Schizosaccharomyces pombe: one gene and its partners. Changing the gene in region 2 together with the main gene of any one other region gives a genetic interaction. Each region holds a gene or a part of one and is shown on either strand. Other genes may lie near its edges.

What was found.
Region 1: of scw1 (region 2) and sid2, a mutation in one rescues a mutant of the other (synthetic rescue), as found in Schizosaccharomyces pombe (2 studies listed by BioGRID).
Region 3: of scw1 (region 2) and mob1, a mutation in one rescues a mutant of the other (synthetic rescue), as found in Schizosaccharomyces pombe (2 studies listed by BioGRID).
Region 4: mutations in scw1 (region 2) and cdc4 impair growth when combined (synthetic growth defect), as found in Schizosaccharomyces pombe (one study listed by BioGRID).

The regions. Positions count from the first base shown.
Region 1 is NC_003424.3:218,799-227,743, forward strand, and holds sid2 (serine/threonine protein kinase (NDR family) Sid2), read right to left. Parts: upstream 5,156-8,945; 5' UTR 5,055-5,155; coding exon 3,231-5,054; 3' UTR 2,896-3,230; downstream 1-2,895. Other genes in the region: cfh1 (chitin synthase regulatory factor-like Chr3), read right to left, coding at 1-2,657; dnf2 (phospholipid-transporting ATPase), read right to left, coding at 5,598-8,945. UniProt on the Schizosaccharomyces pombe protein: Part of a signaling pathway. Required for initiation of medial ring constriction and septation.
Region 2 is NC_003421.2:670,559-678,579, reverse strand, and holds scw1 (RNA-binding protein Scw1), read right to left. Parts: upstream 5,105-8,021; coding exon 3,419-5,104; 3' UTR 3,329-3,418; downstream 1-3,328. Other genes in the region: p21-activated protein kinase inhibitor Skb15, read left to right, coding at 1,554-1,726, 1,830-2,220, 2,290-2,447, 2,512-2,815; SPOM_SPCC16C4.21 (uncharacterized protein), read right to left, coding at 7,025-7,270; pus3 (tRNA pseudouridine synthase), read left to right, coding at 7,820-8,021.
Region 3 is NC_003423.3:466,556-473,866, forward strand, and holds mob1 (Sid2-Mob1 kinase complex regulatory subunit Mob1), read right to left. Parts: upstream 3,609-7,311; 5' UTR 3,571-3,608; coding exon 3,396-3,570; intron 3,339-3,395; coding exon 2,939-3,338; intron 2,891-2,938; coding exon 2,833-2,890; downstream 1-2,832. Other genes in the region: homocysteine synthase Met17, read left to right, coding at 1-367; SPOM_SPBC428.12C (peptidyl-prolyl cis-trans isomerase E), read right to left, coding at 1,579-1,643, 1,705-1,863, 1,959-2,054, 2,244-2,274; mlg1 (1-acylglycerol-3-phosphate acyltransferase), read left to right, coding at 4,097-5,149; SPOM_SPBC428.15 (Obg-like ATPase), read left to right, coding at 5,655-6,884; Rheb GTPase Rhb1, read right to left, coding at 7,272-7,311. UniProt on the Schizosaccharomyces pombe protein: Has a role in promoting the onset of septum formation during the latter stages of mitosis.
Region 4 is NC_003424.3:5,324,564-5,332,974, forward strand, and holds cdc4 (myosin II light chain cdc4), read left to right. Parts: upstream 1-4,624; 5' UTR 4,625-4,654; coding exon 4,655-4,685; intron 4,686-4,737; coding exon 4,738-4,869; intron 4,870-4,942; coding exon 4,943-5,083; intron 5,084-5,149; coding exon 5,150-5,242; intron 5,243-5,314; coding exon 5,315-5,343; 3' UTR 5,344-5,955; coding exon of another isoform or gene 5,956-6,216; 3' UTR 6,217-6,261; downstream 6,262-8,411. Other genes in the region: ski7 (ski complex-interacting GTPase), read left to right, coding at 1-243; U2 auxiliary factor small subunit Uaf2, read left to right, coding at 1,048-1,698; SPOM_SPAP8A3.07C (phospho-2-dehydro-3-deoxyheptonate aldolase), read right to left, coding at 2,157-3,266, 3,538-3,546; serine/threonine protein phosphatase PP2A scaffold subunit Paa1, read right to left, coding at 5,956-6,216, 6,262-6,599, 6,655-6,755, 6,817-7,720, 7,829-7,934, 7,989-8,036, 8,088-8,102. UniProt on the Schizosaccharomyces pombe protein: Involved in cytokinesis. Required for the formation and function of the contractile ring.

The DNA of each region.
Region 1 (8,945 bases), on a different chromosome or scaffold from region 2:
GAGGATGGATCAGCAGCAACACCAATGCCTTGTTCCATCATAAAGCCAACAGCATACTGAGCTTTAGCCAAACCTTTGCAAGCCGCTTTATGCGCCCAAAGTAAAGCTTCTTCTCCATTCTTAGGCAAAATACCCTCTGAACCCGTTAAATACCAACCGGAAAGTCCTAGTTCTGCCTCGCCATAGTCTTGTTCGGCAGCACGCGTGTACCAAAAAATACTGCGTCGAGGTTCTGCTAAACACCCTAATAAACCGTGTTCATAGCACTCCCCAAGTTTACACTGGGCGGCAGCGTAGCCATAGACAGCTGATTGTTTGTAAAGTTCAAACTTTCTTTCAGGGGTTGCAGATACTCCGTAACGATCCGGTTGCTCATAAATCTTTGCAAGTTCATACATAGCTCTAACTGATTCGGGCCCCTTAGACTTACATGCACGTTCGAGCCATTGCACACCGAGAGATATATTGCGTTTTTGCCCTAACAAACCATTTAAGTAAATCAGAGCGATACGAAACATAGCTTCGACTACATCCATTTCAGCTGCCTTTTTATAGATGGCAACGCACTTACTAGTGTCCGGCTTAACCCCGGTACCAGTTTGAAGACAAACAGCAACTCTGTAATTACTCAAAGGATGTCCTTTTTTAGCTGCAAGGCTGTACAACTCAAATGCTTTTCCCAAATCGCGTCTAAATCCTAATACCCCCTGACTGTGAAATTGTCCTATTAAAAACAGAGCTTCGGGTACAGTATTCTGGGTTTTGCTAGGATAAGCATTCTTTTTTAAAAGTTCAACAGCTCTGGTTCGATAAACATTGATTCGAGTATTATAACTAGCCTGGTCGGGAGCTAAGCTCGGCTTGTTTTCTAAAGTTTCTAATGCATTCAAATAAACTTTTGCCAACTCAACTTCGTCATCAGGTGTGATTTGAGATTTTTGGCGAAGACGCTGTTCTTCTTGCATAGCGTCTCCGTGCGTCACAATTTTTGGTGACGGAATCATCAACTTATCATCAGGATGACAAGGAATCGCATCCTTCGTCTTTTCTTTTGCTTCTGCACCCACTTCAAAAATAGCGGGTGAAGAAGCATTACTGTTAGACATCATAGATATATTCCTTTCAAACTTGGAATTAGCAACCTTGGATGATACATTAGCAACCGATGTATTTTTGTGATTACCAATAGACTTATTACTTTGCTGTGGAATAGGGGAAAACGAAGGTGTCACAGCTAAGTTATGTGAAATCGGTGTGCTATCAGCACGCATTATCGGGGAAGAAACAGAAGGGAGAGGACGAATGTCAGAAACTAACCCATGGGTTGTGTGTACCGGAGGAATTGGCGATAAAGGACTTGTTTGACCGTGTATAGAAGTAGGCATTGGTTTAATTGCCTTAGGACGTGCAAGGTTTGTAGGATATGAAGGTAAATTATTAACAGTTGGGTTTGTGCGATTATTATCATAACCTTCGGGAGAGTTATTATTCGAGTTCCTCGAAACATTTCTACGATCAAATGTAGGAGCAGGAACCTCAACTGGAGAACGAGCTGGTAGCATTACCATTTGAGAATGTGGATAACGAGGTGGTTGTTGAAGTGTAAGCAAATCATCATTTCGAGGATTTTTCAAAGTTTCGGATGATTTTAAGTCATTAGAAACTGAAGGAAGCGAACGTTCATCGCTTTCTAACCCGAATGAATCTGTATTCGAGTCGGTTGATGAAAAGTGACTTTTTGAAGGGAGGTGTCCAGAGTTTTCATAAACTGGTCCCAAATGACGATGAGCAGGTTCTGCATCTGACGAAGCATTAGAAACTGTATTTGTGATGGAGTCACTTTCTGCTCCATCTTCTTCCTCCAAAGTTTCTATTCGAGAGTTACTCTTAAGCTGATTGTCTTCAAGTACAGTATCGTCATCCTTGTAATAGTTATCTAAGAAGTCATCAAACCCACCGTATGGTATGTAACTCATACGACGCTGTACACGACTTATAGAATTAACACGTGGAGGTGCCATATATTTTCTATGAGGATCCGGTTGTCCAATCTCATCCTTTCCATCATCTAAATTGGTCATTGGCGTTGGTCGCGGAATAGAAACCAAAAAATCTTCTTTCTGCTCATGATTTATTTGTATTGGGGCATCTTGCCGATCCAACTTTAAACTAGGTGAAGGCAAAATAGGAGAAGCCTGTCTCAAATTAGTGTTCAGCTTTAACCCACGGTTAACTACACGTTTGCTTGTAGGAGCAGGTGCAGCTGGAATTTTATACTGTGGCTGTGGCTCCGGCTTGACCGGTATGGTTGCACGCGGCAATTTGTCTTTGAAGGTATCTTCACTAACAACAGGCCGGGATATTTTTTTCTTGGAGAATTTCAATGCTGAAGGTGGAGTACCCATTGTAGCGCTCATTATACTAGCCCTGTTCGCGTCAATCCTTGAAGACAGGTCCAAAACATTCGTATACACTGGTTCATGGCTCAATGTCGGATATCTCGATGTAGGACGAAATTGAAGAGTAGGGGAGGATGAAGAAGCTGTGTTACCGCTTTTTAAAAAAGCTGGGGTACCCTCTGTTCTTTTTCCATTATTCGTTGCGAATACCAACTTTTCCTTCTCATACTTCCTCCGAGAGCTATGTGAATCTTTCATTAACAGATTAATTTACGAGTGAAATAAAGAGCAAAAGGTAGACGCTTTAGGAGGAAAGCAGTAAGAAACGAGGATAATGAGGTATCGCAGTTTGATGAATGTTACAGCTCTTCTGCTGTTGCCAACAAAACGAATATCTTACAGCTCACTAAACAACAAATAATACACGAAAACAAAAATTTTCCAAAATAGTAAAAATGGTTCAAGATATTAAATTGCAGATAGTGTCTATTTCCCTATCAAGTAAATGATTTACATAATTTATCTGGTAATTGCAAGTTCTTCTATATAAATGGCGAAAGCTGAATATTGACGAATAAAATAGTGGAAGATAAATAAAAATATAATATAATATAATGAAAAAGGATACTTCCAAATAAACATCATAAAATTAAAGTGATAACTTTCGCAAATTGTAATGTAAATGCCGTTCGAAAGTGAAATGCAATAGTAAAAGACAGTACTGTAAATGTCAAAACATCAAAAGCGAAGCTCAGTATCTTCGAAAATAGTTAATAACAGTAGATGTCTTATAAAAATACCATGAACAAGGGTCATTAAATTTCCCTTTGATTATAATAGAGTCCCGAAAGAAGGAGCAGAGAGGGGACTAGATAATGCGCTACTAGAGCTAGTAGGATGACTATTTTTTTGATGCCTAAAAGTGAAGCCGATAAAAGCATTGCGTTTAGGCTTATTAAATGTGTTAACCATATTAGCAATTGCAGCTTGTTTCTCATGAACTTCCTTATATTTAGACATATCATTTTCATTAGTGAAATCATCAAAATATCCTGCGTCAATCTCAGAATTAAGGTCGGGTACAAACGGAGGACGATATGCTGTACGAACATTTTTCCAATCAATCTTTGAGAAGTAAGGATGTTGCATGACTTGCTTAAGAGAACAAAAGCGATCCTTGGGATCAGTAATGCAGTGACATACAAAATCCCATGCATCATCTCTCCAGTTGAATTCCAAATCGCGGGGATCATCATAGTGAGGGCGTTGAAAACACTTGCGCCAATTCTTCAAGTTAGACCAGGTTTCATTAACATTGGAGCCAGAAAATGGAGGAAAACCAGAAAGACATTCATACATGATGCAGCCAAGAGACCAATAGTCTACAGAGTGGTTGTAGTTTTCACCTCGTAAAACCTCTGGGGCCATATAATCAGGAGAGCCAACTACTGAATGAGCGTATACAGGATCCTGAGATAAAAGAGTTCGAAACACTTGTCGCCTTTCCCTCATGCTCCTTTCGGGAACAACGACATTGTTGACTTCTTGAAGACGAATCTTCATACTTTCAATCTTCTTTTTGCTGATTATTCCAGAACTTAAACCAAAGTCCGTCAATTTAATATGGCCGCTAGCTCCAACCAAAAAGTTTTCTGGCTTAAGGTCACGATGGATGTAACCAAGTTGATGCAAAGCATCAATAGCTAGGAACATTTCTGTAGCATAAAACTTGGCATGATGATCCCTTAAAACACCACTGTTGCTAAGCAAAGTACGGAAATCACCACCAGGAACAAATTCCATAGCGAGATAAATGTTTGAAGTATCCTGAAAAGCATAAAGTAGACGAACTAACCATTCCGAGTTGGCTGTCGTAAGGATATCACGCTCAGTAAGAACATGCCTGATCTCATCCATTTTATGCAAAACCGATTTATTCATGATTTTCAAAGCAACAATCTCTTTGGTGTCACGCTTCCTAGCCAACCAAACAGAGCCATATCCACCTTGTCCGACTTGAGTGATGGTCTGGAAATCTCCGTGACTAATGCGTGTCCTCCTTTTCCTTAGATATACTCGTTCACGTCCATTGTATCGCTTCACTAGCTCGTCTCTTCGTGAATCAGGCTCTTTAAGCAACTGCTCTTCAAAAAGACGGGCTCTTTGCTTGCGGGTATAAAGATAATGAAGCTGCTCAAAGTAATGGTCTAAAAAGAACATTTGACAAATGGTTGCCATTCTCTTTACCTTAGGTTGGACCACTTTCTCCATTTCTTCAACTGACAAGTTCATAGATCCATTTTCCCATCTTGGTGAACCCGTTGAACTTCTATCTGACCAATGATTATTATCCTTGTAGCTCAACTCGCCAGATCTATCAAGACCACGCGGAATAGGGCTTGCAATCGGTAACTTACTAATGTGTTTTGAATGCATATGATTGTCAGGATAATTTTCCTTCGAAGATGCCACTGGGGAAAGCTTCATACTATTAAATTGATCCTCCAAATTCCTTTCTTTATCATTATTCGACAAGTTGCCGGGTTCAAAAAGACCATGTCGCTTCATATATGCATCAAATTTCTTATCTGCTTCAGAACTTAGCTGAAGTCCTAAATCACCTTCAACTGGTGACATATCATTAACACGATTCATTATTAGTTTTCTTTAAATATGTATCGTAAACATCCAACGTTTTGGTCCCCAAAAAATGCAAAACTCCTGTCAATAATAACCTTACGTGTTTTGTTTACGGCAGAGTACATTTCCATCGGAGTTAGGTATCAGCCATTTACCCTTAGCAACCAAAGTTTGATTACAGCAGTCGCTGGAAATTTCAAAACTTAAAAAACCAACCACCAAATTTACTACTTAGAACAAGATTGTTAAAAAGTCTGTTTTTATTATTTATCATACAAATGTAAACTAGATATAGTAAATTTATCTCGTTATTTTTAAAATGTACTGTGAATGCAAAATACATTTTAAATTTGATGCAATCTTTTGATTTCAGAAGAAAAATGTAAACGTTCATGTATTTTATTTAGTATGCAGAGATGTTTCTATAACATCATAATCATTATTCGATAATTCATCATTCTTTAGTATGAAAAGTTATGTTCTTAAGCATAGCGTAGAAATAGAATGGGTACACAGATTATCTTGATTAGATAATTCAGCTTATTAACTTGCCATTTTTTAAGGCCGTAACGGCTGTTCAGAAGAAGAAATGGAACCACGATGAGGCATGTATTCGCCTCTGTTAAGTATTTCATCAGAGAACACAGGAGAGCCCTCCAAGAAACTTGGAGTATATGACGGGGTAAAGCTTCTTGGCATACTTGATGTGAGTGTAAGCGAATTTGTGTCCAAACGTAAAGGTTCTTTCTTGGGTGTCGCCAAACTTGACGAAGATGCGTTGAAAGGGACCTGTAAAGTAGAAGATGCCCAATCTGGAGATTGTTCGGCATTCTCAATCTCCTCTTCTTCATCCAATTCATGAAGGCGTTTAGTGCGGTAACTTTCGCGAATGATATCCACATCATATGGCCAAAATAACTTTTGCGTTGTCATAAACAAAAACTTCGGGAAAAGACAACTTACAATCGTTCCACATAAAACAGCCCAAAAATTTGGAGTTCTGAATATACGCGAAGCAGATTTATAAAATTCATATGTATAAAGGCTTTGAGAGTAGACGCCAGTCCAAAACCAAAATGTCAAACAACTGAGCGCCCATAAACCAATTGAAAACACATCCCAATTTGATTGATTCAGAATAACATACGTGTCGACAACCATAATAGTTGGCGCAGCAACGTAAACACCTAAATCTTGTACAGCCATAGTATCACGACCATTCTGAGCAGCTGTGGTCACATTGTTAATCACAAGAAAAGAGAAAAAGAAACAGATTACAGACTGATAAAACCCATCAAGCATATATCCAATAAAGATTTTCCTGGCTGAATTTAATTGCAAAATACCACGCTTGTAAAGCTGAGGGATCCGAAGCGACAAATCAGCATTAACATCTTGATCATAGACACCCATGACAATGACAGGTAACGATGAAAAAATCAAGTTAAACAGCATAACATAAGTATAATCGAAAAGGTAATTTGCGTCGAAATTGTTGTAAATCTGATACCAGAATAAAGTAAATGTCCATACAACACTCTTGTAGAAAAAGTTGTTTACCATTTCAGCAACACGATTATAATCCCAACGGCCATGAACAAGAACCAGCTTGCTCAAAAATCGGAATTGACCGATTGCATAATCCGCAGACATAGCTGCAGCACGGCCTTCTTCACCAACAATACCAACACCAATATCAGCTTTTTGAATCATTGCAACATCATTCGCACCATCTCCAATGGCTAACGTCATTACTTCAAGGCTTTCGCGTACCAATTGAACAACATCTGCTTTTTGAGCCGGACTAACACGGCAACACAAGACAGCCTTGCATCTTTTACAAAGTAGCAGAAACTTGGTTCTCATTGGACCATCTAAAACTCGTTTAAGTACTGATCCATCAATAACTAACGCATGAGAGCCAGAGGGAGTGTCATGATCCTTCTTAGCAGCTTCAAGTTCTTCAACTGATCCAGACAAACCAAAATAACGATATAAGTAGTCAGCTAAAATAACTTCCAACTCTGGTGTTGACACTTCTTGGTCCACATCAAACTTAATCATGTCCATGCCAGCGTCCAATAAATTGCAAGAAAAACCAATATTAATAGCAGTCTCCATTTTGTCTCCGGTCAGAACCCACAATTTGATACCGGCTTGAGCCAATAATGCAATTGAATCAGGTACTCCTTCTTGTAATCGATCCTCAATAGCTGTTCCACCGAGCAAAGTAAGATGAGATTCAATCAAATCGGCAACTTCCTCTATTTGCTCCTCACGGTTTTCAATTGCAGATGCGGCGATGTCATACTTTTCTTTCCATTCGTAATATTCCTCTTCAGTAAGCTCTCTTTTTGCGATACAAAGTGTTCGTAAACCTTCCAATGCAAAAATTCTGAGATGCTCAGAAGTGGTTTTACGTAATTCAACTTGTTCATTTGGTTCCAAACGTTCGAAAATAATGCTATCAGCACCTTTGCAAATAAGCACATAACGGTTATCGGGTCCTTTAACGATCACACTCATTCTCTTCCTCGCTGAGCTGAATTCAATAGTATCCATCAATTTGAATCTTTGGGTTTCTCCAAGAGCACGAGTAACCATAATGTCTCTCCGCTGGTCCAAAAAAACAAAGCCAACGTCGCGGGCGGTACCCACGAGTGCAGCTTCATCTGGCGATTGTGCTTTATAGACAATCCGGTCACCAACTCTGTCTGCAACTACGCTATGACAAAGGGCCAATGCCAAGAAAAACTCATAGCATGCAAGTGACTGTTCTTCACCAGCTTTGCCAGCAAGGTCATGAACAAACTGCGACGAGATGAACGTGAGGTTATCATCCACAAGGTATTTGTTGTCGTGCATATTTCGCATTTGAGAAATCATTTGCATTCGGTCACGTTCAATGAAACTTTGCTTTTGAAGAGTCAATTCTTCAGTATCCTTTCCCTCGCGTTTTGCCATTCCCGCCATTGCTTCGGTAAATGCCTCACCATACGCAACTCCGTTGATCGTACATTTTTTAAATTCCATAACATTTTGAGTAAGAGTACCTGTTTTATCAGAAAAGATATATTCCACTTGTCCAAGATCGTCAGAAATATTCCAAGATTTTGGAGTACAAGCATACTTTAGCTTCTTATAATACATGTCTTTGTCGAAATATATAAAAATTGCCTGGATGGTCTTAACGATTTCAATTGAAATATAAAGCGAAATGGGCACCAAGTTTTGAAAAAGAATAACACCAGTGAAAAACGTGACGACACCATCTTTGGCAGGAGAACCACCAATGGAACCAAACTCAAAGTAATACGAGGAGCGAGAATGACCACGCCAGGCGATTCCTTCGACAACTGCGCAAACAAAACACATGGAGAAAAGGATAATGAAATTAAGATAAACATTCCAATTAAGATTTCTAGTAATGCGACTACGCTTTAATGGCGGAGCACCAGAGTTCAGCATAATCTTGGTATCATCGCCAGTAAATACGACAACTCCAATCACCCATTTTGTATTCCTAAGGACACAACCACGCAATAGCATTGAGTCCAGACTGATGGGCTCTGAAACAGTTTGGGAGGTATCAGAGCCACCTGCTTCAGAATGGACAAAGGACTTACATGCTCCATTATACTCATAAAGGTTAGCGTGTGGTGGTTCACTCTCTATCCAAAAACGACATCTCTCGCATGAGGCCTCGTCAACTACATTCTTTCCGCACGTTAGAGCGTGACGCATTTTTAAGTTGGTTTCACCATCAAGATTCTTGGTTTCAATGTAACAAATACCTTCAGGGTCGGATGAATTAATGATGACTATATCTGCGGGAATTTCATCATTATCCATAACTTTTACAAAATCACCTACACGGACATCCTTCCAGTATGTTTTTTTGAAATG
Region 2 (8,021 bases):
ACGTATATTTGTGCATTTTAATGAAGACATTAAAATTCGTTAACGACGTGCGCTGAATTTTTCGATTTGAAGAGGAAAGCATCAAAAGACTTAACAAAGTATTGAAAGAATGAAGCTCTTCAATAATATATTAGAGGCTATTTAAAAAATTTGAAGAACCTTGGTAATAAAAATCGGTGCAGCTTCATAATTATATCGTCGTCCCTACCGATGTCAATCATAATTAATTGCTTTCTTCGTAGGATAGAAATGTAAACTGTAGAACGTAAAACTTAAGAGGAAGGGAATTAGAAACATTTATTATATATATTCCTAACAACCCTTAAAGTGTACGAGTTTGTCAAAGAGCATGATGGGACTTTGACTTTTTTTACCTACCTATACTGCCCCAAAAGGACTCATGGCAGAAATAGGCTTCAAATAAAGTACAATAGTGATTACTAGCACAAATCCTTATTTTTTATTACTGGAATTTGCCGATTTATTATATGAAGATAGCGCGATTGTACGTTGATAAAGAAACGAATGGAATAAGGCACATCACACCAAAATCTTATGTGACAAAAATCTATCACAATACATCATTATACAAACACTACAGTAACGAAATTTTATATTATGAGTACCTGTGAATTTCTCTATTTTATTTATCGATACAACAGAGCAACTCGTTTTTCTTGTAAAAAGTAAATAAATTCAATTTAGTAAACGATTTACGAACTTCTTCTAAGTTACGACATATTGCATGGAAGAACGTGAGAATGTTTGTTGGTCCGCTCTGCCTTGGGGCTGTCAGCTGCTTTACTCTTTCTCTGCAATCGGACGTATGACCTGGAAAATACGCTTGTGAACAGATTTTGATAAATGTTGAAATAAAATTTGGAAATATTCAAGATAAAAAAAATAAATCTATAAACAATTATTCGATTTCGAAAGCTCGACCTCAGTTTCTATTGCTTTATAATAAATCTATGTGAAACTGTTCAGATATATAATCTTATAAAGAAGGGGATATAGATCATGTCTGAACATTTGTAATGGAGCTGCTAATCCCTGAAACCTCGCTACAATAATATTTGATGAAACCATACCAGTAACATGCAGGGTGAAAATTGAAACAAGAAAAGATTTAGTGCTTGGAAGGTTCTTTGTTTAAGTAAAAGCTACTGTATGTCTTTTTCTTCCTTGAGCTTGCTACTTTGAAACACTAGTTGTTTACATTAGCAATCTGATCAATTTGAGACCAAAAGCACACAAAATAAGGTATTTATTATTAATATTCATTCTCTATAATCAATTTCAGCAATTTAAAAATCTTTCTTCATTGGTTTTGAAGAAAAACATAAAGTGAAACTTCTTGCTGTTACTTTAAAATTTCATTACACCTGCAAATTCTTTGCTACTCTCTCCTTCTTACTTGGTATTTGAGAATTTGTGGTTTAGGACTCAATTAAATTATAATAGAAAAAGCAAAAGGATCGGGTGCTTATTATAACTTACTTTGGGTTTTGTATAACTGGATTTAGGCTTCAATTGTCATACTTTAGTCACCGATGCTCCGTTTTGTAGTTGGAACATATACTCACCTCATTTACGGTGTTGATGCAGACATTGAGAGGAAAAAATGCAAGCCCTTGTGGCTTTTTGAAGCTCATGAAGGAGCTTTAACCGCGTTAGCTGTCGACGGTATTTACTTGGCTTCTACTAGCAGTGATGAAACAATTAAGTAAGTTATTTGCAACTGGAATTATGAAACTGGACTTAAATGGTTTCATTCTTCCTTCCTTGTATTTAATTATCCTTTTAAGCATAATCTAACATCGTTTCAGAATTTTCGATCACACTCGTAACGTCCAAATAGCCGATGTTTCTGTTCCTACAGATATCGCCAATGCATGTATCCGAGATATGTGTTTTACTAAAAATCACCTTTTAGCATGTCATGATAACGGGCAAATCAGTATGTGGTCTAAAGGTTCATGGTTGTTGGTTCATACTCTTAAGTCATCTTCTCATAAGGGCATCACTGGTATAGCAGTTCACCCTTCAGAAAAATTGGCCCTAACAGTTGGAGGTGATGGAAAGTTGCGGCTCTGGGACCTTGTACGAGGTAAAGGAGGTAAAGTTTTACCTTTAAGCACTATCCCAGAATCTATTCTTTTCCTGAATGAGTCGTCATTTGTTATTATGTCACGAAGAGGCATTGATGCCTTTAAATTGGTAAGAATTTATGCATTTTTCTATATGCAATTTTCCTCCTTCTTTTATAAATTACTAATACATTTTTAGGATCTCACTTCCCTTTTCAGCTTCTCTTCTAAATCTCAATTGAACGCTTTGTGTCTCTATCAATCCAAATTGATAGTTGGACGAGATAATGGAACAGTACTGGTTTTGGATACTTCTGATGGGAAGATTTTACATGAATTTACGGCGCATAAGAAACGGTAAGTGTCTTTTTATATTCTATACTCAACAAATTAAAAATTCAAAATTTTCTAATCAAGTTAGCGTCAAATCTGTCTACCCTGTTGATGATTATTTAATTACTGCAAGCTCGGATGGTTCAGTATGTATATGGGATAAAGATTGGAACTTAGTAATTGAGCATAACATTCCAGAAGGCAATCGAATTACCTGTATGGTAGCTATGTTGGCCGATAGCAATTCAGAACCCAAAAATGTCGAAGATGAAGCTGCGAAACGTCAAAGTTTGGATTCGGAAACTTCTGAAACTTCTTCAGAGTCAGAATCGGAGTCAGAATATTACAGCACTTCAAAACAGCCGCCTGTGAAAAGGACGAAGCATGCCTAAAGTTCCTCGCAATTTTAAAAAAAGTAAATCAATTTCAACTTAATAGGGAAAGGACGGGATTACTATTATACAGTTTTTGTTGGAAATATTTTATTCACCTAGACTATACTAATATTTATAAAAGGATTAAGTGTTTGCTTATCAATGTATCCTAAAAATTCTTGTATGTAAGCTTAAGTTGGGTGTTACAATAAAAATACATCTAACCAAGTTGTTACAGTACTTGTTTAGCAATTTAAGATGGGTTCATTTAGAAGCAAAAGTCGATATTATTATGTAAATTGATATGTGTAGCAGAAGTATATGGAAATGATGAGCAAATGATAAATCCTAATGACAACTAAACAATGCAAGTACCCATCTTATATAAGAGTGAAATAAAACAGATCGCATAAATCGACAAATTGTAATTAAGCTTAACAGATGGTTAAAGTTGCATGCAGTCAAAGTGGAATAGATCGCAACTTTTGATTAACAAAGAATCAATATGCAAAACTCAAAAAAAAAAAAAGAGAAACAATATGCTTAAAAAATTTGGACCTAAAGTCCTTGCAAGGTATTGATGAATAATGATAAAATGAAGACGAGAAAATGCTAGATGAGCTATTTGCCATACATTAGATTATTACCCCAACTGGGACTGGCGTGGACTTCGTTATGTCCACCAGTATGATTAAGCAAAGAGTCTGTATTGTAATTATTCATGGAACCAGAGTGAAGGTTACGAACGTTTCCATTATGGTTGTTATGCGATGAACTTGATGAGCGCACTCCCAATGGGTTCTTCGAAAAACTCAAACGAATACCACCTTTAATGCTACTGCTAAGACAAACACCTTGTAAATTCTTCAAGGCTTCCATGGCGTATGGAATGTTTTCAAATTCAACAAAACACATGGGGCCATTGCCTTTAGTGCGGAAACAAAGTCTTTTGTATCCAACTTGAGTGGAAAACAAAACTTTCAACTCTTCCTCGGAAGTAGAAGGAGGAAGATTTCCAACATAAATGGTGTTACAAGGAGGATTTTGATCAGCAGGGTTGGTATTCGTGGGGGTAGAAGCAGGGATGCGTTGATGAATTCCATGACTGGAGGAATAAGCCGAAAATGGTGTGGAAGGTGAAATGGTAGAAGCTGAAAATGGGTAGTCTCTTGATGTTGATGGTGTCAAGGGAGGAGGGCTTGTTGTACTGAATGCACTGTTTGCCGAAAAGACACGAGGATGGGGTGATTGAGCACTAGAATTTTGGGTATGAGCGCTATAACCCTTTTCAGATGAAAGGTAATTGCGCGCCACGTTGGTGTTAATAGATAATGAGTTAAATCGCAAAATCGGAGGAACACCGTCTTGACGCAAATTGGTACTACTTTTGGAAGGAGTGGGTGACCACGTAGGTGAACCAACTTCATCCTTGGCTAACACATTCGCGAGTGTTAAAGGATAAGAAACAGGGAAAGAAGACCACAACCTATCGGAATGCAAACTACCTCCATTGTTAGGAGCCTGAAAAGTGCTATCACCCAAAGGTGTTTTTGAATGACGATAAGCAGATTCCGAATGATTTGCAGTAGGCATACTGGCTGACACATGATTACTTGACCTGCGGAAAAGATCACGATTTCCTAACAGTGGACGAGTTGGAGAATGGTTTCGAGACAGTCTGTTAAATGAAACACTACTCTCAGAGCCCTCAGTTTCGTCGCTAAGATTTGTTTGACTTCCCTTTCGATAATTGTCTAAAATTATCATGCTGCACGCGGAATAAACATCGCTAGATAGCAAAGTGTCTCTAGCAGATGCAGCAGCATCTCGGGATGAAAACACCGCCAATCCATGAGCAACTTCATTATCCACGGATACAGGATTAAGCTCGACGGATACTACATTCGTAGCGAATAAAAAGGTACATAAAAACTCTCTGGGTGTTAAGTCCCTAGGTAAATCCTCAATCCGCAAAGCATAATATCTAGGAAAACCGAATCCAACCTTAGGAGGAGCAGAGGCTAATCCACCGTTGAGGTTAGAGAGGAGTCTACCAATCGGAGTTGTGGATTTTTCCACAGATGCATAAGTAGGTAAACCGTCAGATTCAGCTTTCCCAGCTTGGCTGTGAATAGCCTGAGGAGACATGTGAAGAGCATGACATTCATCATCTCCATTCAGAATACCGGTTGGAACCAACGATGAACCACGTAGCGCATCTTCAGTAAACTCGGTTTCGTCCCCGACTTTGGTCTTACTGGATAACGATAAAGGCTTTTCAATAGCGCTCGGTGATCCCACAAACATTTTGCAAATTATATATAATGGTAATTGAAAAGAAGAGAAAAAAGAATGACAAAGTGGTTGATAAAGTAACCAAAATAAGCAATAGATGCCTAAAAGTAAAACACAAATGAAATAGCAGTAGTTGTTAAATAAACCCCAAACGATAATAAATGAGGCTTCAAGCTTAATAACACGAAATAGTTAATAAGTGGAGTAAAAAGTTAGAAACCTAGTTGGTCGACTAAAAAGAAAGTGTGTAAGTAATAAAAATAAGCAAGGGCAATGAAGAAAAATAAAAAATTCAGTAAAAATTGTTAGCAAGTATTAGAAAAATCCAAATACTTGACGCGAAAGAATTAGAAGGGCAACAACCTAGAATACTGGACGAAGATAATAAAAGAAAGACTGTAACTTCAAGAAAACGAGAGCAAAGGGTAAACTGTTGACCACCACAAATAATTCTAGTTGCTAAAAGAGAGACAGATACAACTGTGAAGCAAAAAACACAAACTGAAAATGAAAAAAAGATGACTGAAATATGCAAAAATACCGAGCTAACAAAAAGTCTAGGGCAAGGCTTATGAGGAAGAAATCGTCAAAAGTATCGATAAAAAGACTTCGAAGGTATTCGAAATGCTTAAAAAAATCAGTTAGCGATTTTTTTTTTTTCAAAAAAAAAGAAATGGTTGCAGATGGAAAAATAAAATAAACAATCAACTTTTCAATCAGCAGAGTATAAACAAATATACAAACAAGTAAACAAAAGACACTTGTTTTTTTTTGGAGAGGTAAATCAAAGGAAAGCAATCGGGCAAAAAGTGAGAAGCAAATAAAATATACCGCTATCAACAAAGAGTAAATATCCAACAACAAGAACAATCAAGATAGAAGTAAAATTGCTGGGAAGATTGGCAAAACGTAAGCAAAAGAAGTATGAACACGGTTTATAAAGGAGCGAAGAATGAAAGGAAAAGCAAAATAAAAGAAGCTTTTCTAAGTAACGTTAAATAAGAGAGATCAAGTTAAAAGAAAAAAGGCAAAAAGATTCCAAGAAATTTCAAATAAAAAGAAAAAAACTAAGAAGTAAAGTGAATATGAAATCTTTGTGAAAAAATGATTGAAACTTGATCAAAATAATAATAAGGCATAAAATAGGGTCAGAAGAAAAAACAAAGAGGGAAGAAAGAGAAAAAAAAAAGAAAAAGAATAAAACAAAAAAGGTAACCCACACAAAAACGAAGAGACTAAATATTATATAAATGTCACAAAACTTTGTATGAACAAAAAGATGGGCAAAAAAAAAGACCAAACGTTTAATAAGCAAATACCCTTAAGTAATGAGTAAAAGGCGGAAGAAATGAATCAACGAAATCAAACGAGTGAATAAAATTTCGAAAAAAAAAAAAATAAGGAGCCGGGTATCTGAATGAAAACGAATCGTGACTATTTTATGGATTGAGAATAGGGAAATCCTAAAAACACAAAATTGTTTAGTGGGGATAGAAATGGATAGATATGAAAATGAAATGAATAATGAAAGGAGGTCGAATAAAAACCCAGTTGAAAAACTATTTATGGCCAAAATTCAACAAAGCAACAAATGGCTAAAGTTCAATGAAAGGGTACAGAAAAATAAAAAAGAAAAGTAAGACTTTCAACACACACGTTGTGCTTCCGAAACGGATATAATTTTCCTTGTCGTGCAGGCTGAGTCAACGAGCCCCTAAGATGAAAAAATGAGAATTTCCGTAAAAACAATGAAAAGAAAATATTTAATAGGGAGAAACCGAGGAACGCAATAAATAGCAAAACAACCAAGACTGAGAATGCAAAAAAGAAAAAAGAAAAACAAGCGTTATTAGATGAATGAAAGGACAATCGAAAACTAATCCAAATAATAATGGAGATGATAACAGTAAATATCAAATTTCTGCTATTCTGCTATGTTTCCGGCTTAAATCTTTTTTTTTGCACTACAAAAAGCGTTTTCTTGCCTACTGCGACTGTTTTCCTGGTGGTTGGGAGGTATAGGTGGTCGGTAAGTTCGGCGTGCAGTGTGGAAACGCTGTACGTTAGAGGAACACCAGCATCATCATGCATGACAAAATGTTGAACCGATGGGTTAGCGGTTAAGATGCAACATTCACTATATCTCAATCCCTTAACATTTGCCGGATAGAGCTGCATAGAAAAAAATTTGTCAAAACCCGGGTAGTAAGAAAAAGTATGGTTTAGAAGGTATTTTAAATAAATCAACGAAAATTTAGCAGAGAACAGTAAATAAAGAAGCAAAGATTGATAAGAAAGCGGTTGCTAACGAAAAGAATTAGTTTTGTAGGTTGACCTTTGAAACGACTGAAAAAAAATTAATTTTCGATAAAAGTTGAAAAAAAAGGACCTTCTAAAAACGGCAAATTTTCGGCTTCATTGTCCATTCAAAGGGGTAGAAAGGAGATACAAGGTATTTCTTTGTGGTATCTAGTATGTACAGCTTGGTTTAGTAAAAGAAAATAGATAAACAACAGGGTATTGTGGGTAAGACTATTCATGGAAGCTAGGGCTCTTTCCAAAAAATTATAGTAATATTCTATATTGTTCATGAAAAACAGTTGAAGTGCTTCTACCCTTAGTTTAATATTTTTTTAATATCCTAACTTTTGCTTGAGCACATGCCATCTGTAGTACCTTTCCTCTCTTTCATTAAAAACTTGCTTAGTTAATTTCATCTTTCAAACTATGCATAGTCTCTTAAGACCTTCAAGGTTCTCTGCCAACCAATCTGTGCTTTGCTTGCTCCAACGACATCGGGTTTTCTTTTCTTCGATTTCGGTGAAACCCCGGAAACGAATGGTCTACTGTGTTGTCAGCTATCGTGGTACTGGCTTTGCTGGTTTGCAGTACAATGCCAATGTCAAAACCATACAAGATACACTGTTCC
Region 3 (7,311 bases), on a different chromosome or scaffold from region 2:
AAAATATTTGGAAAAGCACCCCAAGGTTAACTGGGTTTCTTACCCTGGTCTTGAATCTCACGTCTCTCACAAACTTGCCAAGAAGTACTTGAAAAATGGTTACGGCGCCGTTCTCAGCTTTGGCGCTAAAGGTGGCCCTGATCAAAGTCGTAAGGTAGTCAATGCCTTAAAGCTTGCTAGTCAGTTGGCCAATGTTGGTGATGCCAAAACTTTGGTTATCGCTCCTGCCTATACCACTCATTTACAATTAACTGATGAGGAGCAAATTTCTGCCGGTGTCACTAAGGATCTTATTCGTGTGGCCGTCGGTATTGAGCACATCGATGATATTATCGCCGACTTTGCTCAAGCTTTGGAAGTTGCCTAAAAAGCCCTCATTGTATATCTTTTTATTTACCTGTAAAATACATAGTAATGTTTCACAAATATCGATTGAGTTTTTGTATGTTTTCCCACATCTGCTCAAAATATTTCTCTCTTTTATCCATTATAATACTTTTAATGTGTTCTCTTCAACAGAAAGCTAGATATATTTATCATACCCGACTTTACATTTCACACTTCAGTTTACGCTATGAAATAAATCATTTTTCGGTTTGATCTCTTGGTAATTTAGATTCAGATTCACAAGTAATAAACAATGACTATTTATAACACTTGTGCACTACTAATGGCTAACAGGTCTATAAAACAAGGAAAGCGTAACATATTATATAACAAAATTTACGTTATCTTGATCTCTGCCTAGCAAAAGATTACTGAATGCTTTTAGCTCCTTATTTCGGTAAGCACATTATTACTATTAGCAGAAATTCACTGGTGCTTTCATTAATAAAAAATACACAAAATCATATAAAATTAATTTTACAAAAAATAAAAAACCACCAAATTGCTAAAGACATACATTGTAAACATATGAGTTATTGCAATAAGTTGGTTTCCAAATATTCCCAAAACTCTTAACGAGAGTTGGAGCGGTCAGGGTAATAGTTTTCAACTAGCAATAACGCCATCTAGGAAAAGTTCCTCACTGATAAGCGTAATACCCGTGCACAAAGATGGGGAATGGTAAACTCTTGTACATCCATTTATAGTAAAATTGAGCAGTCACAACAGGTCACAAAACCCTACCCTATTACTTTAACATAACGTTACGGAATATACGGGCTTAAATTCCCTTAGTGCACTATGAAATGATATTTTGAGTATGAGAGTTTTAAAGCGCAAAGGGGAAGATTTGCAAAACTGATATATGTATAGGTATGTATATTCATTCAATAACTATGAATTCTTGGATAATAAAGAAATCAATGCTAAAGTAATGTTGAAGCGTCAATCGTAAATACCAAGCCTTGCTTTCCAAAAAGGCTTAAATGCATAGCAATTCCATTAACAAAAGATGAATGGGTGTCGGTTCGAAATGTAAAGAATAAAAATGATAAAAAAGGAGGGAGGATGAGGTATTCTCTTTAAAAATATAGTACTTAAAAGGAGACAATTCACCTATAGTCACTCGCATGCCCAATTTTGCTTTATTATAAGGTGAGGCAATTACAAAGAAAACAATATCTTACAAAATTAAGAGGTAGGAGTAGAAGTCGATTTGAAAGTTTGAAAATCCGCTGACTCAGGATGCAACATTGCTACGTAAATTAGTAAAGAGCATAAAAAATTGAAAGCCTCTTCAGCAGCTATTTTTCTTACCTATATCTGGAACTGCTGTCTCTTCAGCTGATAACGCAAAATTTGCAGGCGATACTCTGATACAACGATCACAGAGAATAGAATAGTTCATATTTTCCATAGCTTCTTTAGCGTCTTCTGGTTCATCAAATTCTACAAACGCGTAGGAACGGTCCACAGCTAGAAAGTTAGCTAAACTTTTAAAATGTTTGAGCATTTTCATGGCATCAAAACTAGTTGTTTACCAACATGACACCAATACATGACTACTTTACCTTTTTCTTTACGATGTAATGCAACTGAGATAATCTCTCCAAACGGAATGAAAGCATTGTATAAAAGAGATTCTGTTACAGATGGAGCCAAGTTACCTAAAAAGAAAGTTAGCAAACAGATCTTTGAAAACAACAATCTTTTAAAACGAAGTATCGCCGTCATATAATATTCAACAAGTTAAATCATAACCTCAAACATTTATCGTAGATAAATGGCCATATGAGGAAGCGGTATCATGAAACTCATAGATATATCATAACAACGATGAATTCATTGATCCTTACCCACATGGACGGTTGCTTTCCTTCTTTCCATCCTCAGATCATCAAAACTAAAAAAAAAAAATAAGATGAAAAGCAAAAAGACTAAAATAATAGGGAATTAAAAAGTTCAGATTATTTCGCACATTTACTATCTCACATCCACCACCATTCAGTAAGTAGTTTCTCAAATAACGATGCAGTCTTTTTCGGTATTTAACAGAAACCTGAAATAAAGATTCCAGAGACATATGATACATGAAATGTTATAAATAAAATGAATTGTATGAAGATAGACACTTTAGAGAATGCGAGAATATTTTGCACAAGTAGCCTATGCAAAGGCGATATGCCACACTTTTCAAAAGTAGTTAAAAGAATGCAGTGTCATAAGAAAAAAGTGGAGGAGTAGAAAGAGTAATTTTAGCAACTATTCTTTATGGTAATCACTCAAGTGAATGATTGAAATGAAAAGAAGAAATTTTCCATAAAAAATTGTGCTAAGGTCTGGATAAAATGGTAATGGTAGGGATAAAATAAAACATTAAATTGGTAAGTTTGGGAACCGAGTTTACCTCCCATTTCCTGTTCCTGAATAACTACAAAACTGTTCTTAAACCATGCTATCTACCAAGTCTTGCATTGGTGCATATTCCTTGTTATCCATAAGGCTGAAATTTGTTGTTAACATCTTTAAGTAAGTAAATTGAAACACATACCCAAATTCCCTACAGAAAAATACAAAGTGTTTAAATGATGTATTCAGATAGCTTTCAAGCTCCATTGCTACCATTACGTGAAAGTGGGAACAGTAAATATGAGCATAAATGCGAAACAACCTTCGAAATATTTGCTGAATCACTTTGCGAAAATTCTTTGGGAATTCAACACCAATCTCAGTGGGGAAGAGCTTCTTGTCATCCAACTTTTCTTGAGTCCAATCCAACAGATTGTTAATATAGTCGGGAGCACTCATGCGAGTGGGTTTGGTGTATATTTTATCATCCTGCCAGTAATATTCATAACTTGGTCCAGCATTCATTTGAGGACAGGAAGCCGCCGTACAAAATTCAGTGATTGTACCATACAACATATTAATTTGTGTATAAAAATCCATTGCTAGAAGTATTCAATTAATAAAAGTTCTTGAAGTGTCAATTTTATATCTTAGCTTACTGTTCATAGCAATCCATTCATTCAAATCTTCTCCCTTGGGCAGTTTTACTGCTTCCATCAAAGAGCCAGATCCCAGCGTTGCTTCAGCATATTGCCGTAGTTGATAATGCTTCGTTCCCGCTTCAGTCTTCCTTACACGGAATGTCTTCGCTGTCTTATTACTAAATCCAAACATGAAAGAAAATGCAAAAAAGTTGGTATGAGTTGGGTTCTGGTAGGCTTGGTTTGTGCCAACCTTCCACTCATCGTCCCTTCCTCGTAAACAAACGTGGTCATTCTACCGTTCAACTTTCAAGACCATCCAGCCAACCAATATTAAGCGCAAATTAATTACTGGAATACCTATCATATTCATACGACCGTATGTTTAGGTCCGAGCACTTTTACAAATTGACAACGTACGATCGCTACTTCTTTACCCACTGCCTATAACCACTGACATTCCCTGAATTACACTTTGGTGCTAAACGTGCGGCTAAGAAATTAAAAAGAAAGCAGAGAGCTTTTAATTTTCTTTTTGGGATTTTTTTTGCTCAAATTGGTGTCTATTTAGTGTTCGTGTACGACTTTTACTGTGCGGTGAGAAACGCGAAAGGGCATCACTAAAACCGACTTTGCTAACTTTCTCTGGATTCTATTTAACAGTCTTTTATTTCTTGAGATTTGATTTAGGTTCCTTTAATTCATTTAGGTTTGACAACATGACATGCAGAATTGCGATTCGCAAGTATTCATTCATATTATGTTTGGCTGTTGGTTCAGTTACCATTTATACCTCGGAAGTTATTGGAACTCCTCTGTATTTTGTCAACAAGGAGCTTTATAACAAATATATTGCTTTTACAAAATCATTCGCCGGTATTCTGTTTACCGCTTTGGTCCAGCTTTTTAGTCCGACTCCTGTAACTCTCACCTATGATCCCGAGCTTCGAAATTTGTTTTATTTGGATAGAAATGGTTGCTTGGAAACAATTGCTGCTGAACGCAACATAGTTATCGCAAACCATCAACTTTACTCGGACTGGATGTACGTTTGGTGGTTATCGTACACTGCTAAACAGCATGGTCATGTTTATATTATGTTAAAAAACTCTCTCAAATGGTTGCCAGTTATAGGTTGGGGTATGCAATTGTTTAGATTCATTTTCCTTTCTCGCAAATGGGACAAAGACTACGAGACTATGTCTCGTCATTTCAAGTTCATTCGCAATGTACGTGATTCCGTCAGTCTCATTCTCTTCCCAGAAGGAACCAACTTGGTTGAAAGCACATATCAAAGGAGCAGGGTGTATGCCGATAAAATTGGAGTCAAAATGCCAAAGCATTTAATGCTCCCACGTGTGCGAGGGCTCTTTTATAGTATCAGTCAGCTTCGTGATTCGATGACTTATTTGTACGATTACACATTTTATTTTTCTGATCCCTCTCCTAAGAAATATGCCGCCGATGCTTTCTCTTTACCTAAGCTCTTTTTTGAAGGAGTCCCCATCAAAAGGCTTCATATTCACGTTCGTCGCTTCCCAATTTCGGAAATTCCCACTGAAGAAGATCAGTTTACGGATTGGCTTTATCAAAGATGGTATGAGAAAGATAAACTTATCGATACGCTTCTTGAAACAGGGAATTTTCCGGGCCCTAAGAAATTGCATACGACTGTTCGATTGAAGCACAGACTTGAAATTCTTTCTTTGTTTTCCGTACTTTTCACGTGCATTGTTGCTGGGTTGTTCCTCAAACTATTCATTTCTCACTAGAAAAAACTGTTATTTATACCCATTTCTTTCCATTTCCCTAAACCATATGGTTGAAAAGTTACCCATTTACACTACATAGATTAACTGATTTTCATGAACATTTTTTAACAGATTGCAAACTGGATTTTCAGTGTTAAGGAATTACCGCATACATTGCGGACGATAGTTTTATAGTCATTAGCTTTCTCTTGAGCTTTGAGATTTCGAGATAAATTATTCTGTACACTTTTTCTCCTTACAACCATCCTCTTTGCCTGTAGACGGCCTACAATCTACTGTTTCAAACTATGTCGAAGATAACATAATAACAATAAAATAAATTATGCTAAAAAAAAAATATTATAAATGTGCAAGCAAACAATCCTTTAAATCTTTAGTCCTAAAAGCAGGTATTACGAAACACTCGACCCTTACCACTACTCTAATTCTCAGATTGCAGAGTACGAGTAGGTCCTGGATTTCAGTACCAATTTTTCTCACATACTTCTTCTAAGGTTTCCAAATAATGGGTAGAGACATTTTAATTGGATTTGTTGGCAAGCCCTCCAGTGGTAAATCTACGATGCTGAATGCGTTGACAGATGCCACTGCTAAAACTGGTAATTTCCCTTTTACCACTATTGAGCCAAACCGGGCTATTGGCTATGCTCAAATAGAATGCGCGTGCTCAAGATTTGGACTACAGGACAAATGTAAACCAATTTATGGTGGTTGCAAAAATGGTGTACGTTCAATTCCTATTCAGCTGCTTGATGTAGCTGGTCTTATTCCAGGTGCGCATGCTGGAAAGGGGCTTGGCAATAAATTTTTAGACGATTTACGGCATGCCGATGCTTTGGTCCATGTGGTAGATGTCTCAGGTACTACTGATGCGGAAGGAAAAGTGTGTCGTGGATATGATCCTTCTGTAGATATCGCTTGGTTGTATAAGGAAATAACTGCATGGATCGGAAACAATCTGAGAGAGAAATGGCCTAATATAGTTCGTAGGCATATTGCTACGAAAGCCAATCCTGTCAATACACTACAATCCCAGTTTTCTGGATATGGAAGTACCCCTGCTGTTACAGCTAAAGTCTTAGATTCGCTACATTTAGATACACCTTTGGAGAAATGGGATGATGATACAATTGAAAAAGTGGTTAACAGATTCGTTGATATCAAGTTTCCTACCGTTATTGCTCTTAACAAAATTGATCATCCTGATGCGGATGCAAATATATCTAAAATAGCTAGAAAAGAAGATCCAAATCGACTCGTACTGGCTTCAGCCATATCCGAAGTTTTTCTTCGAAGATTGGCAAAACAGGGGTTTGTTAAGTACGAGGAGGGCTCTGAATTTGTTGATACGCTAGACGATTTTCCTGACTCTGGCTTGAAACCTTTGAGCGAAAATCTTAAAACCCGTATCGCAGACCTCCAAGACATGGTATTATTTCGACACGGTTCAACTGGAGTTTGTAATGTTTTAGCAAAGGCAATGGAACTTTTAAATTTGATTCCAGTTTTTCCCGTTAAAAACGTTCACAATTTTGCAAACTCTCCTAATGAAGGTGTTTTCAGAGATTGCATCTTAGTGAAGCAAGGAACGACTGCTGGACAGGTATCTCAAATGGTATTGGGTGGAGAAGCAATGTCTATTGTGGGTGTAAATGGAAACGTCGGCGAATCTGATGTTATTGTCCCAGGTAAAACGGATATCCTTCACTTTCGATTGCGGAAAGCTGAAGCTTAAGTGATTCATGAAGAAAAGTGGTAAAAGGTCGATTTTGGGAAATATTCAAAATAGTTTTGTATAGATGTTAATAAACAATACTATGTCTAAAAATTAATTTGGTTAGTTTAAAACTTCCGAAGAGCTAACTCAACAAATTACGTCTACAATGTCTGGCTGTACTTTCTCCACTATGTATTACATTGACTAAATTTTAAAACCATAGTTTAGGTACTTGTATATTTGAAATAAAGAGTCGAAATCTTGTAAACCCATGTGTAAAAAAACACGTTTGTGTGCAAAGTATCACCTCATGTAATGTAAGCCCATATCTTGCATTAGCAAAGATAAAATCGTTAATTCAGTTAAAATAAATTAATCCATAATATGATAAATTCAAGCAGAAGCTTAGGCGATAACACAACCCTTTCCATCACCAGGAGGGGAA
Region 4 (8,411 bases), on a different chromosome or scaffold from region 2:
CTATTCGGCTGTCACGCAGTCCTTACCAAACTGTATTGCTTTACAGACAGTCAAGAAAAAGCTCCTAACGCAATCGGAAACGATCTTGAAAGAAATCGAACCTCACTTGTGAAAATTGAATTAGAGAATGCTTTCCCTCTCGTAAAAGAAAGCTACATTAACACCTTAAGCCGCGTTTTATTCGTTTCAGAAAAATGGAATAGCTTAATTGCGTTTGGAACAGTACTATCTCTGCATGACTGAATCCCTAACTTACGTATTATACTCAACTCCATATTAATTTTGCATTCGAAAAAATTTTCCGTCCTTTTTAAAGAAATTCTCTATAGATTGTTTTAAATATTGTAAAACTACCGATGTTGTTCATTTGCGTACATCTCAGGCATCGTGACATTTGGAAACAATTTGTTCTCGAGTAAATTTCCTGAGCAAAAAAAAGGAATGTGCTGTGTTAAGAATAATTTATCTTTTTTTCTTTTGAATCGTTGGCACATCAGTCTAATAACAGTAACTACTTATTCTTGATATTTTCCAAATTCGAATATAATTAGGGAAATACAAGGGAATATCTGTATATCGGATAGTTGTAAGCTACGCAGTTTGGTATCTGATTTAAGGATACGTAGAACTGTGGTGAGTTTTCCTTGTGATCTATTATATTACAATACACAGGTTATATAAGTAGCAACTGAGTATAGGTATTGTATTAACTGGGTTATAATGTTACCTATCACTAATATAGCTCATAACTGAACTGAGGAACGAGGTTCAGCAGTAGCTCTATTTATAGTATTCAGATAATATAGATCTTAATAGATTATCATTAAGATCAATCTCCATATCGTATCATACATGGTACGATATATAATTAGAACATGTGACATATAGTGATACGCAACGTAGTGTATCATAGCGTAGTGTAGTACTGCTGACAATAGTGTGCAAGAATAATTTAGAAAATTTGCGTAACTTAACGAGATGTTGCACGCCACCATTATAAGACTAGAATCATGTTGGATCACTTTATTTCATAACCACCATATAAAAATGGCAAGTCATTTGGCAAGTATTTATGGTACTGAGCAAGATAAAGTCAATTGCTCATTCTATTATAAAATAGGAGCTTGTAGACATGGGGAACGCTGCTCTCGTAAACATGTCAAACCAAATTTTAGTCAAACGATCTTATGTCCCAACATGTATAAAAACCCAATTCATGAACCAAATGGCAAAAAGTTCACGCAGCGTGAACTTGCAGAACAATTTGATGCATTCTACGAGGACATGTTTTGTGAGTTTTCAAAATACGGTGAAGTTGAACAATTAGTCGTCTGTGACAATGTTGGAGATCACTTAGTCGGAAATGTTTATGTAAGATTCAAGTATGAAGAGTCTGCCCAAAATGCTATTGATGATTTAAATTCCCGATGGTATTCCCAAAGACCAGTCTACGCCGAGTTATCTCCTGTAACTGATTTTCGCGAGGCATGTTGCCGGCAACACGAAACTTCGGAATGTCAGCGGGGTGGCCTTTGTAATTTTATGCATGCCAAAAAACCAAGTCCTCAGCTTTTACGCGATTTGGTACTAGCACAAAGAAAGTATTTGGCCTTAAATGCAGCAGAAGAAATGAAAAAGGAGCCCAATAGTGATTCCACGAATCGATGGGTCAGTGTAACTGCTGAACGCAAAAATTAAATAGCAACTTATGGAATGTATTTGTTTTGGATTCTGGTTTGCTTTTGTACGGTTTTACTTCGTTTATTATGATTAATCTCTGGCTATAGTTTGTTGTGATTTAGGTTATTTAAATAGATGTTGCATTCTTTTATTGTTTACTAATAAACTTGATCTTTGTACAACTGTACTCATAGACGTTTTAAATTTTGTGTCCAATGTGCCTATGGCTGATTACAAGCTAAAGGAGATCGATTAGAAACATATGAAACGATCAAACATTTCGCAAAACTTGCACAGCAATTCTTAAAAACGAAGGTGTTATTGGTAGAAGCTGTGTACGATATAAGAAAAAAAAAACAAAAAAAAATAAATAGAACCCGTATTTAAGCCAAAATTGTTCAGTTGTTGTATGTTACGAAAAAATAAGTTTCAAAAATTAAAAAAATTAAAACTGCTGAATATAACATTTATATGTCTTAATTACTTTTTTGGTTTTGACGGCGAGCACGGACAGCTTCAGCAAGATCGTCTAGCATTGGAGCAGTTTGTTCCCAGCTAACACAAGCATCAGTGATACTGACACCGTACTTGAGAGTATCCTTAACGCCAGGACGGATTGGAGCATCTTGACGACCTTCATTGATATGAGATTCAATCATAACACCAACAATGGAAGAGTCGCCATTTCTGATTTGTTCGGCGATGCTCTTGGAGACCTTTGGTTGGTTCAAATGATTCTTGCTTGAGTTGCCATGAGAGCAATCGATCATGATACGAGGAGGAAGGTTGGCCTTCTCAAGATCTTTGCGAACGGCGGCAACGTGCTCAGCATCATAGTTAGGACCCTTCTTACCACCACGCAAAATGATGAAGGTATCCTTGTTGCCCCTGGTCATGGTAATAGCGGCGAGACCTTGTTTAGTAACTCCTAGCATTGTGTGAGGATGGGCGGTAGCACCAATGGCATCAATCGCCACACCAACAGTACCATCAGTACCATTCTTGAAACCAACAGGGAAGGAAAGGGCAGAAGCCAATTCACGATGTAATTGAGACTCGGTAGTACGAGCACCGATAGCACCAAAACTGAGTAAGTCGGCGAAGAATTGGGGAGAAATGTTGTCCAACATCTCACTGGCCAAAGGAATGCCAAAATTGGTAACGTCGCAATACATTTGACGAGCCATCCTAATACCCTTGTTGATAGCAAAAGAACCATCCAAGTTAGGGTCGTTGACCAAACCCTTCCATCCGATAGTAGTACGGGGCTTCTCCAAATAACAACGCATGACAACGCACAAAGCATCCTGAAGCTCGTCAGCTTTGGGCTTCAGCAACTTAGCATAGTCCATGGCCAATTTAGGGTCATGAATGGAGCAAGGACCGACAACAACGATAATTCTGTCATCTTGTTTGTTGAGAATAGCTTGAATCTCCTTTCTGGAGTCAGTGATGACTTTGCGAGAAGTTTCAGAAACAGGAATCTCTTGTTGAACCAAAGCGGCAGGAACCAAAGGGTTGTAACCTAAGACACGGTTGTCATCAAGATGCTCTTGATCGTAAGTTTCACCGCTGGGTAAAAAAACCTAATTGAATAATGTTAGCAAATTGACATTAAAAAAAAAGACCAAACATGCTGGACATAGCAATCAACATAAAGCAATAAAAATTTCAAAAAAAAGAAACAAAAAAATTTAAAATTTCAATTGCCTAAAAATTCATCAGCAAAAACAAATTTGTTATCCGCATAGTAAAATCTACTATATAACTCAATAAGATAACTTTCAGTACTGTTTCTCCGACTGATGAAAATTTTTACTAGCAAAATTCTTTGGATGCCCAATTGGGGTTACTTACCGGAGACATGGCTTATTAAATAGAATTAATAAATTTAGGTCAAAGAGTGCTTCCTAAGTTGTTGAATGCCAAGTAAGTAAACACTATTAAAGGTCCTTTACTACGACGAAGGTTGGTTCTGTCTGAGTTCGAAGCAGCGCCAACGAAAAATATATGTAGTCCAGTAATAAGATGATCCAGTGATAATGGCTCTAAGTCATCGGAACTGCGAAACAAGTAGTAGGCAATTTCTGGACATCATCGCTTAAAAATTTGTTCAAATTTATAAGTCCTTTGTTTTGTATCAATTTCTAGATTTCACTTGCTATTTAATTACTTGAAAGTAAATTGAAGGTTGAGCGTAAAAACATAAAATAAAGCCTTTTTTCGGTTTCTTATTAATTCATAAATTAATGTTAAAAGGGATTGATATATAATATTTAATAATTACGTTTCCTACAATGTTTACTGTCATGTACCACTGGGATATGAGAATATATACATTGCTTATCAAAATACTTATTTCCAAGATTCGCTCAATTATATAAACCACGCATTAAAGCAACATATAAAAACATATTGATTCGTTTATTTTACTTTTACTCAATGCATATTTTGTGAGCCCGAAAATTTAGATATACCATCTGTGACTGCCTTTTTGGTACACAAACGCCGAAAATTAGAAGTCTGGTGGACAGCGTTGGCTTTCCGGTAGATTAGTCTTTTGAGGTTAACAAGTTAATGATATCTGATATTCTGATGTGATTATTGAATTTATGAAGTGCATCAGTACTGTATTTCTCGTGTTCCGGTGACTCTCGTATTTTGTATTGCACTAGAAATAGTGAAATCGCCAGCCATTTCATAATTTATCAAGTAGCTCGACATTAGTATGACTATTCATATTCTGTATACGAATGATGTTCTAAATTAAAATCTGGCAAAGTAAATGACAATTCTGTTCATATAAGCTGGTTTACATAGCTCTACGTTCTTTAGTAAATTACTAAACAGATCGCTATACAGTAAACATTATCATGGCAACGGTTGCTATGGGGCTTATAGGTGCGTGTACACAGATTACAGTCGACTTAGTACACTTACCTTCATCCTAACAATCCATTTAGAATAGTCAAACATGTCGACAGACGATTCACCTTATAAACAAGGTAATAACTACTTTTTGAAATCATTTCAAAATGTTTATTAACGAAAAGATAGCTTTTTCTTTATTTGACCGCCATGGAACTGGTCGCATCCCCAAAACGTCCATTGGTGATCTTTTAAGAGCGTGTGGACAAAATCCTACGCTGGCTGAGATTACTGAAATTGAATCTACTTTGCCCGCAGAAGGTATGATTTCTTGTTATGGGTTTGGAGAGTTATACTCCTTAGCCGTGCATTAAGTGACAATACTAATTGGTAGTCGATATGGAACAATTCCTTCAAGTGTTAAATCGTCCCAATGGGTTTGATATGCCTGGTGACCCAGAGGAATTCGTGAAGGGCTTCCAGGTGTTTGATAAAGATGCCACTGGCATGATTGGAGTGGGTGAATTGCGCTATGGTATGTATTTATAGAGATCTATCCTTTTTTCAGATTGATAAAAAAATGCGAAACTAATTGTATCAGTTTTAACTTCTTTGGGTGAAAAACTCAGCAACGAAGAAATGGACGAGTTATTAAAGGGTGTTCCCGTAAAAGATGGCATGGTTAATTATCACGGTATGCTCTATTACTACTCTGGGCTTCGGCAATCAACTACCTATACTTAATTATACTAACTGCTTCCTTTAGATTTCGTTCAAATGATTCTTGCCAATTAATTAAATCTACATAGTTTGCATAATTTACCCGGCATATGTTTCTCCTTTATTATTTACACCTTTATTTCAATTTTATGTCTTCAATAGTTTACTTTCGTTCAGCTTTTCCATCTGATACACTTGGGACTATGAAGCAATATGTTCCTGAATACAGATAACTGGACTTTTCGATACTCGCAGGAATTTCTACACATATCGTTTAGCATACGGAAATAGAGATATCCTTCTATATTCGTATATTTATGAATATGATTAACAACCATTTGTTATCTCATGCAAATGACCTTATATCTCAGCTGCTTAAATTGTTTGAATCTCTCCAGATGTAAATATAAGTTTTCATTCAAAATTACACTTTTCGTAAGTAATTACGGTTGATGCCAGCTTTCTTGATGCATTCGGCTCCAATTTTGCCATATCGTGTATATCTTGTATATCTAATTTACTGTGTGTCAATACGATGCTTTGAATTAGATGTAGGGCTTGACACTTGATGTCGAACGAATGGCCAGAGTCAAGACAGTCCATTCTTTTGCATTTTTACATAGTGAACACAAATCATAAAGGTAAAACTTTTGGCTCATTTAGACATGCAATCATATAACCCAACAATTAGTCATTTGTTTGCTCTAAGGCCTGAGTAGCAAAATATTGAACATCAGGGTCATTATCTTTTGTAAGTTGTTCGAGCAATGGGATGATTTGCTGTTCATATACGGTCGAGTCACCACCAGCTGCCAAAACAGGCTTAAGAACTTCAAACGCCTTGGCAACGTTAAAGCGAATATTAGGAATAGGGTCATTAACCAACTGTTCCAAAGTTGGAAGAATTTGTTTTTCAATTACTTCAGCATTCAATGCAGGTGCGATTTCCTAAAATACGTTAGAACTGGAAAAAAGCAAAAAAGAAAAACTTACACTGATCGCAAAAATAGTTGTCATTCGGTATAAATAATTTGGATGGCTTCGCATAGCCAAAAACTTTGGAATAATTGTCTCAGTTGCCCATTCCAACCCAAAAATTTCCGTAAGTTTTCGCAAATTCTTTATCGCAGCTTCACGAATAGAATATACATGGTCCTCTAACCATGACATACATAAATTGCCCATTTTCTCATTAAAAAATTCGACCCCAAGCTGCTGAGCAAGTAGTGGAATGTAGTCAATGATAGCAAGACGAACACGCCATTGTTTATCTTCAGCAAGTGTAACAATTGCAGGCAATAAAGATTGTGAAAGTAATTCGATACCAACGACTAAAGTGAGTTAGTATAACTGTAGCAATAGCTATATTTTGAATTTGCAATTTACCTTTGTTTACAACTTCCAATTTCGAAATAATGTTAAGACGAACTTCAGGGTTTTCATCTTTAAGTAATTCCAAAAACATTGGTAAAAGATACTCTGTAGTCCTAAATATAACGATTAGTAAAATGAGGTTTTTAAAAGAAAAGTTATTTTTAGCAGACATACTTTTCCTTTCCTAATTGTGGGGCGAGAGCACCTATGTTCATCCCTAAAGCAGCACGGACATGTTGAGCGGGATCATTAATTAACTCTTGAATAACTGGAATAATCTCTTCAAGAACAATTCGCTTATCCAACAATTCGCAAAATCCTGGTATTTGAGTAGCAATAGCACGGCGGACTTCCTGCTCGGTATCCTTCATGAGCAGTACGAATGGTTTAATAAGTTCATCTTTAATAAGAGATGGTCCAACTACTTTAGCAAGTTTTACAAAATTAGCAGCAACCATATAACGTGTTCTCCAGCTGCTATCCGAAACAAAAGACCTTAATGGTTGAAGCAAATAGTGACGAATTTCCGAGTCAGATTTTAATACCTCCGCCAAAGAAACCATAATGTCGAAAGAAAGGAGCCGAACTGAGTCTTGGTCATCATTAGAAAGGGAGTTGAACAATGGAATGAATTCGTCAATAGCCTCCTGTTTAGTTACCAAAAAAACAAACTTGGCACAGTTCGTTGCTGCAGGACGACGGACCATGGGAGCTTCGTCGTGACATAGATGACTAAAACTTTGACGAAGAGAGACTTTGACAGCAGGATTTTCTGACTGAGAATATGCCGCGCAGTAAAGCCCAGCAGAGGACGCACGAGAGGTAAACCACTCAGCGGTTGAAAGACGTTGAACCAATGGAACAAAATATTGCTCTAATTGTTCTTGGGATAGGCAAATACATACTTTATTGAGAGAGTCAACGGCTTTATCGCGGACTACCGTTTCTTCAGTTGCAGCAAGATTTTCAAGGGGAGACAAAAGGACATGCGCATACTCAGGGCCTCCAACATAATCTACAAAATTTCCTAACTGGTCGGCGAGAGCTGATAGGACTTCGTCCTCATCGTCAATCGATTCTGTATTCAAGGAATGTTAGCCGACAAACATACATCGTTTATTAAAAAATATAAAGAATTTTAAAAATTTAAACCTATAGTTCCATAATTTTATTATTGAATGCATACCATCTAAAAAGGGAATCAACTCATCCCTTGTACGTTCAGGACCTAAAGCGAGAGCAATTGTCGATAACCGTTCCAAAGCATTGAGCCTATAAGTAATTTCATCATGCTTTAACAATAGTCAGAGTTGAACATATCAGACGTAAAACAATTTGTTACCAACCTTTAACTCATCAATCAAAACAGCAATCGGATACAAATCGTTCACTTGCTATAAATAGTCGTGGTTAATAAATTGTAAAAGAGACATTTTGTAACACACATTCTCTGTTTGCATTTTATATAATAGAACAACTCGTTCTTAGCAAACAAGCAAATAAAGTGGGTAGGAAGTTTTAAACTTTTCGAGGTGAAGAAGGAGTGTGTGTTACAGCGGACGCTACCAAATTGAAACAGTTTTCCAAGCAAGTATCTCAAAGGTTTTCCTTAACATGAATCATTTTGAATAATTCTAAAAAACTATTTTGTGTTTATAATATACTCTGCTTTTCAGAGTTTTGACTGAACATAAATTCCACTTAAATGTTTACATACTGAATTGTCTAGCATCACGAATTCTTTTTATGTCTTCTCTCTTTATTCCTGA